Callithrix jacchus: one gene and its partner. The protein of the gene in region 2 interacts with the protein of the main gene of each other region in a pairwise test. Links are inferred from orthologs where the notes say so. Each region holds a gene or a part of one and is shown on either strand. Other genes may lie near its edges.

What was found.
Region 1: the proteins of PADI4 (region 2) and ANXA4 interact in binary tests that used the Homo sapiens proteins (3 or more experiments, as listed by UniProt). The two-hybrid records come from large-scale screens. The link is inferred for Callithrix jacchus from reciprocal best matches to the Homo sapiens genes PADI4 and ANXA4.

Annotation. Positions count from the first base shown.
Region 1 is NC_133515.1:44,085,900-44,089,716, forward strand, and holds part of ANXA4 (annexin A4), read right to left. Parts: intron 1,648-3,817; coding exon 1,552-1,647; intron 656-1,551; coding exon 597-655; intron 1-596. UniProt on the Homo sapiens protein: Calcium/phospholipid-binding protein which promotes membrane fusion and is involved in exocytosis.
Region 2 is NC_133508.1:54,197,283-54,201,199, reverse strand, and holds the start of PADI4 (protein-arginine deiminase type-4), read right to left. Parts: upstream 2,633-3,917; 5' UTR 2,628-2,632; coding exon 2,536-2,627; intron 1-2,535. UniProt on the Homo sapiens protein: Catalyzes the citrullination/deimination of arginine residues of proteins such as histones, thereby playing a key role in histone code and regulation of stem cell maintenance.

The DNA of each region.
Region 1 (3,817 bases), on a different chromosome or scaffold from region 2:
GAACCACCATGCCTGGCTAATTTTTGTATTTTTGTAGAGACGGGGGTTTCGCCATATTGGCCAGGCTGGTCTTGAACTCTTGACCTCAAGTAATCTGCCCACGTTGGCTTCCCAAAGTGCTGGGATTATAGGCGTGAGCCACTGCACCTAGCCAAAGACTAAATTTTTACCTTTCCTGTACCTCTTGTGATTCTCAGCATGGCGCCTGCAGAATACGATGGTGGTTTAGGAATATGGGCTCTGGAGCTAGACTTCCGGGTGTTCGCATCCTTGCTCTATTAATTTCTCACTGAGAACCTTGGGCAAACTGCATATCCTTGCTATGCCTCAGTTTTCTCATCTGTAAATTGGGGGTTAATTGTATCAGCCTCATAGAGCTGTTGTGGGGATATAATTAATCTATTAAGAACAGTGATCCACACATCCTAAGTACTCAGTAAATATCACCTAGTATTATTATTAGCAGGCACTCACTGAAGTATTTGATGAATTGAATTGAATCTTTCAGGGTGAAGTTTGGATAGGGGATATAAGTAAGCTTAAGAAGGTGGGCACAAGATAACTCAAATTCATTTAGATGCTAAAAGGCCATTTACCTTCATCGATTTATAAAGCTTTTCAGCAAAATATGCAGATTTGTTCCTTATGCACTTTACTGTCAAAGAAAAAAAAGAAGAAATGAAAAGATTACAGATAAGATCCATGAAAAAAGAAAAGTGACAGTTGCTTCCTCTGTTTCTACAAGGTATCACTATTTGCTTTGCCAGGGAAATTTTAGCCAAGTGATGTTTCATGAACATAGGCTATGCTGTATGTATTTTCACAGATAGAAAGTACCCTCGATTTATCATCAAGTTTCTGGAGAAGTAATTGATAAAGTCTCTCAAAGCAAAGGGTGGTATTTAGTTTCAAAATAAGGATTACTGTCTCTGCCATATAAGACAGTTACTAGTTCTAACCATTCACAGACTTGCAAGCTATAGCTTGTATATCTGTACATTATTACCTTTCACATAGGACATATAAAAGCACAGAAGATACAAAATATACAAACCATGTGGCACAATAGCAGTCAGGTTGTATGTAATATTTCTTGTTTAAAAATCTGGAATGCAGGCCGGGCGTGGTGGCTCCTGCCTGTAATCCCAGCACTTTGGGAGGCCGAGGTGGGTGGATCACGAGGTCAAGAGATCGAGACCATCCTGGCCAACTTGGTGAAACCCTAGCTAAATAAAATACAAAAATTAGCTGGGCGTGATGGCACACGCCTATAGTCCCAGCTACTCGGGAAGCTGAGGCAGGAGAATTGCTTGAATCCAGGAGGCGGAGATTGCAGTGAGCTGAGATTGTGCCACTGCACTCCAACCTGGCGCCTGGCGGGAGAGCAAGACTCTGTCTCAAAAAAAAAAAAAAAAATCTGGAATGCACCATGAGTGAGTCAAACAAGTTTTGTCTCCGAAAATAATTATATAACCCTATGTGGCAAACCGATAATGAGAATGAAAAGCTACAAACTTTTTTTCCTCTACTCCCTACCTGCTACCAGCTTACCTATAGCCAGCAGAGCGTCTTCAAAGCTACCAGATGTTTCAGATTTAATACTTTGTTCAATATCCTTCTGTGATATCCTTTTGTATTCATCAAACACTGCAAACAACAATAAAATGGTATTATCAGGAATAAAAAATAGAGGAAACTAATATTTATGGAGAGAATGAGCATTTTTAACTAGCCTACACTATTTATTCTTTGGCATATTTCAGGAGGAAACTAATTAGTAAAGTGCGCAAGCACCCAGGAGGGATGTGCAGAGTGGAACAGGTCCCAGACAAGGAGGAAGAAATGCCATGATGTGTGCAGGACATCAGTCAAGTCCTTTTCCTTCTCTGGGACCCTCCCACATAAAATGGAGACAGCCTCTGGAGACATTTGCTTTCCTTTCTCATTGTTTCCTTAATAAGCAGAATGTGTCTTTTTGTGATTTTGGCATTGGCAATCACCTCCCCTTCATCTCCCTTTTGGCTCATCAAAACTAGAGCAATTCAACCTCTTCAAAAGTGAGTCATAGTTAATAACAGCTGGTTGCATCTTTTAAAATACTTAAACAATTACATTTGTTGGCTTTTTTTTTGCCAAGTATTTTTTAATGTGGTATGTTCCCCTCTCGTTGTCTCTTTCTGGAACCTTCTTAGAACAGGTATCTATTTTATCTTCTCACCATCGCCTTCTTTGGGGTGCTGCTTCACTTCCATCAGTGTGATTTTCACAGGGCTGTCATTCAAGAGACACCATACCCAATAACACACCTCTGCCAAACACATGAGCACTTCCCCCAGTCAGGACCCATTAGACTCTCTCCTAGGAACTTTTTAACTGGGCAGCTCACAGGGATGGCCAAAAGCACTGCCTCATCTTTACCCTCAGAAAAACCTGTTAAACTCGCTGGGTGTCATGCTCAGAGATTCTAATTCAGCCAGTCTCAAGCAGGGGGTCAAGAATTAGCATTTTTAGTAGAGAACAAACTTCAGAAACTCTGCTTTAGAAATAAAATACATGCCAGGTGCGGTGGCTCACACCTGTAATCCCAGCACTTTGGGAGGCTGAGGTGGGCCAATCAGCTAAGGTCAAGAGTTTGAGACCAGCCTGACCAACATGGAGAAACCCCATCTCCACTAAAAAATACAAGATTAGCCGGATGTGGTGGCAGATGTCTGTAATCCCAGCTACGCTGGGGGCTGAGGCAGGAGGATTGCTTGAACCCAGAAGGCAGAGGTTGCGGTGAGCTGAGATGGTGCCATTGCACTTCAGCCTGGGCAACAAGAGTGAAACTCCATCTCCCAAAAAAAAAAAAAAAAGAGTTAAAAGAAAAGTAAAAAAAGAAATGATTCCCTTCTGCTGAGACCCCCAGAACTGCCTTGCTTTCTGTTCTTCCTGAAGGTGGTCAGCTCTCTGTTCAAATTTGTGAGCTACCAGTATTTCCATTTTCCCTCTGTGTCGTTCTATATTATTTCATCTTTTCTTACTTAAATTGAAGTCAGTGTGTATAGCTTGGAATCAAAGAAATTAATTGACACATTTTCTAAGCCTCAGTTTTCTTCACTGTAAAATAGGGAAAATAATTACTGCTCCATTGAGTGGTGCAAGAAACAATGCTTATAATATGCTTAACACAGCACCTAGAAAATAGAACATTATTAACAAAACCTTAGTGATTGTGAAACCTCACCATTATTGTTGGTCAGTAAGAAAATCATGAAGTTTTCCTTATCCAAACAGTGCTTAAAACATTTTCTTCCAGTGGCTTACAAACAGAGGTATATATATTTTTTAATTTTTTATTGCATTTTAGGTTTTGGGGTACATGTGCAGAACGTGCAAGACAGTTGCATAGGTACACACATGGCAGTGTGTTTTGCTTCCTTTCCCCCTTCACCCACATTTGTCATTTTTCCCCAGGCTATCCCTCCCCAGCTCCCCCTCCCCCGCTGGCCCTCCCCTTTTCCCCCCAGTAGACCCCAGTGTTTAGTACTCCCCTCCCTGTGTCCATGTGTTCTCATTTTTCATCACCCTCCTATGAGTGAGAATATGTGGTATTTCATTTTCTGTTCTTGTGTCAGTTTGCTGAGAATGATGTTCTCTAGATTTACCCATGTCCCTACAAACGACACGAACTCATCATTTCTGATTGCTGCATAATATTCCATGGTGTATATGTGCCACATTTTCCCAATCCAGTCTATCATCGATGGGCATTTTGGTTGGTTCCAGTCTTTGCTATTGTAAACAGTGCTGCAATGAACATTTGTGTGCATGTGTC
Region 2 (3,917 bases):
GCTGGGATTACAGGTATGAGCCACCACACCTGGCCCCCTTGACAGGTTTTAATATTCATCTCAGGTCAGCTGAATTTTTCTTCAATATAGTCAATGTATTTTGCAAGAAAAGTACTTTTCAGACTCAGAATGAAAGTCGCACGCAGAGTTTTTAGGCACAGCTCTGGAATAGACACACACACTTCTGCAATCTACTCTGCCTCAGTGACCGAGGGGTCTTTCTAACCCCTGGGATCTCTGACTTTGGGGACAGAGAGAATGGCTTGAGCAAAGGTGTGGAGGTATGCATATGTGAGGTGGAGGTGAGGGGAGCGTGGCCCTCCCACCTAAATGGTTCGGGGAAGAGGGTGATGGCTGCTCAGGAGATGGGAGGGAGGCACTGTCTGGGACTATGTTAAGAACAGATAAGTGACAGGAAGGGCTGGAACCAGGACCCATGGGAAGAGAGGAGGGTCCCGGGGTCAGGCTGCCTGGGTTGAGTCCTGGCTCCCCTACTTACTAGTTGTGTGGCTTGAGGTGGGTTACTTAACTTCTGCAGCCTCAGTTTCACCTTCTGTAAAATGGGAATAACATTACCTACCTCACAAGACTTTTTATTTTTTTTTTGAGACGGAGTTTCGCTGTTGTTACCCAGGCTGGAGTGCAATGGCGGATCTCGGCTCACGGCAACCTCCGCCTCCTGGGTTCAGGTAATTCTCCTGCCTCAGCCTCCTGAGTAGCTGGGATTACAGGCATGCGCCACCATGCCCGGCTAATTTTTTGTATTTTTAGTAGAGATGGGGTTTCACCATGTTGACCAGGATGGTCTCAATCTCTTGACCTCGTGATCCACCTGCCTCGGCCTCCCAAAGTGCTGGGATTACAGGCTTGAGCCACCGCGCCCGGCCCCAAGACTATTAAATGAGTTGTACATAGGAAGTATGAAGGAAATATTAGCTGTTGTGATGTGAGATGTTCAGGGGATAGAATGACAGGGCTCACTCTCTGGCTGAAGGAGGAGAAAAGAAGGATTTCAGTCGGGCATGGTGGCTCACGCCTGTCATCCCAGCACTTTGGGAGGCCAAGGCAGGCGGATCACTTGAGGTCGGGAGTTCAAGACCAGCCTGTCCAACATGGAGAAACCCCGTCTCTACTAAAAATACAAAATTAGTCAGGCGTGGTGGCACATGCCTATAATCCCAGCTACTTGGGAGGCTGAGGCAGGAGAATTGCTTGAACCTGGGAGGTGGAGGTTGTGGTGAGCCGAGATCGTGCCATTGCATTCTAGCCTGGGCAATAAGAGCTAAACTCCGTCTCAAAAAAAAAAGAAGGATTCTGAGGCACCTGTGAAATGGGCAGTGCCTTCCTCTCTGCCCAACCCTGACTAGCTCTCCACCCACCTCTCCAGGGCTGGAGGAAGCACTTGTGACCTTGAGCATTACTCCCCCACACTGGGTAGAGGGCCAGCCAGAGCATGCTGGGAGAGGCCCTAGACTAGCTCCAGCCTCTGTCATTTCCTCCACACCCATTCTCAGAGGAGTTGGGGGTGCCTCAAATGATGTTGGATAATTTTCTTTTTCCTTTTTCCCCCAACCTCTTCATCTCCTGCCTCCCCCAGGTGGCCCTGGTGGAGGCACCCGACATTTACTACTGTTCTCTGGCTGCTGGGGCTCAGTCAGCAAGTGATACTTGCAAGGAACTGTCCCTGACACTCCTATGGGCAGCATTCTAGGGCCATCCATGCTCCGTCTGGGATGGGGAAACCGGGGGCAACCACTCCTGTTCCTGACACAGCAATGAGAGCAATGGCCCTGCCCACTCCCTGACAGCATTCCTCTACCCTCTTGTTTAACCCAGACCCTGCCACAGGGCATGGGACACAGGATTTGTTAAATGAGTGAATAGAAACTACTAGGGATGGGCCCAATGGTGTGCTAAGTATTCAACCAACATTTGCACATTTTTTCACATTGAATTCCTATAACCACCCCTATCGTGAGTATTATTCTCATTTCACAGATGAGGAAACTGAGGCTCAGTTGCCCAGGGCCCCCCTGCTAGCCAGCAGCAGGGCCAGGCTTCCTACCTCAGTCTCTGCCATGCCAGAGCCCCATTTCACCACCCCCACCCACGCTATTACGCACCCACTGAGGGAGGCTTGGCTAAGAGGTGTGGGGTAACAAGCTGTGCTGTGAACCAGGAGGCCCAGGGCCTAGCCTGACTTCCAGGGACACTTGCTATGTGACCTTAAGCAAGTCACAGACCCTCTCTAAGCTTCTGTTGCCTCAAAGACAGTAAGGCGGAGGGCCTGATTTGCCCCATAATAATTTATCTGTGGTGTGGTCCTGGGGAATTTGCACTTGTACATGGCAAAGAACCCACTGCCATGAGTCTGGTACTTCCCAGGGCTGCTGGGGTCTTATCTCTCCAGCTGCTCCTCTGGCAGTGGCTGCAGAGGCTGGAGCCTGAGCCAAACACATGCTCCTGTGTCAGCAGAACTGGCTCATCCAGCATCTCCTGACCTGCCCCCCAAACCCCAGAAGGTCCCCCTCTCACCTGCAGACATCAAGCTGATTCACAGTGCCCAGCACACACACGGCATGGGTGGGCTCCTCTGGGGACACACGGATCAATGTCCCCTGGGCCATCGTCTGGCTAGCTTGTCCCTCTGGCTGTAGGAAGCCCCTGGTCTGATTCTTTTATACCGCCCATCGGAGGCTATGAGTCAGCACCTGCGGTCGGTGGCCCAGAGGCTCAACCCCTCCCCACTCAGCTCAGGGATGTGGGCTCTCAAAATCACCTCTGCCCTGGGGCTGCCCCTTGGACCTCCAGATATGCTGGTACAGTGGCAGGCTGGCTTTGTCAGTTTCCTGGGAAGGACGGATGGCTGAGAAAGGCTGGGGTGGTGAGTGGGGCTGAGGGGCTGGGTCCCAGTCCTCGAGCCCATAGCCCCATCCCTGCCTGGAGACCCTGAACACAGATCTGTCCAATCTCACCTATGTCAAACAGGGGAATCGGAGAGAAGGGGAGAAAAGCAGGGAGATCTTAGGTAAGAGGTCACAGCCCAGGCTACACGTTCAAAGACCAGCCAGGCTTGGGACAGGTCCCTCCACCTGGGCCACCCACATGACAGCTCACTTCCTTGGTGTTTCTTTACACCAGCAGGTTTTCCTGCACTTCACATGGAATAGCTCATTACGACTAACCTGTGAACTAGGTAGTACCATTATCCTCTTATTTCACCCTCACAGCAGGCCTCTGACGTTGGTGCCATTGTTATACCCATTTTACAGAGGAGGAAACGGAGGTGCAGAGTGCTGACACAGCTCGAGAGTGGTAGAGCCAGAACTGGAACCAAAGGTGTCCAGTTCCAGAATGTGAGATTCATTCGTTGCCTGTCTACATGACACACGCTTTTCAGACTGTATCATGGCGACATCTCACTACACTACAAGGTATGTGTGGGCTTATTATTGCAACCCATTTTACAGAGGGAAAACTGAGGCTCAGAGAGTAGAAGTGACTAGGTCTTGCCCAAGGTGCCAGAGCTAGCTTGTGGCAGAGCTGGGAGGAGGAGATGAGCTTCCTGGCGTGGACGCTGATGTTCTCTGCATTCTCCAGGACACCTGCCTCCTGCCAGGGCCTCTGGGTGTTAGATCACATAGTGAGCCACCCTGCCAGGGGGACGCCCATGTGGCCACAGAGCTATGGTTGCACCTGGGCCACCGGTGCCAGGCTCTGCCTTGGAATGGGGCAATTGGGGGGTGGTGGAGAAGTCCCAACAAGGAGCACTAAGAGGGCGCATGCATGGGGTCTGGCCTAGCTTCGAGCATTTGGTGGGTTGGAGATTCTGCATTCATTTCTGTTTGCTTGCTTTGGCTTTGAAGCAAATAATTTGCCTCATTAATTCAGAGCCAGGCCCTGGGGTCAGGCAGACT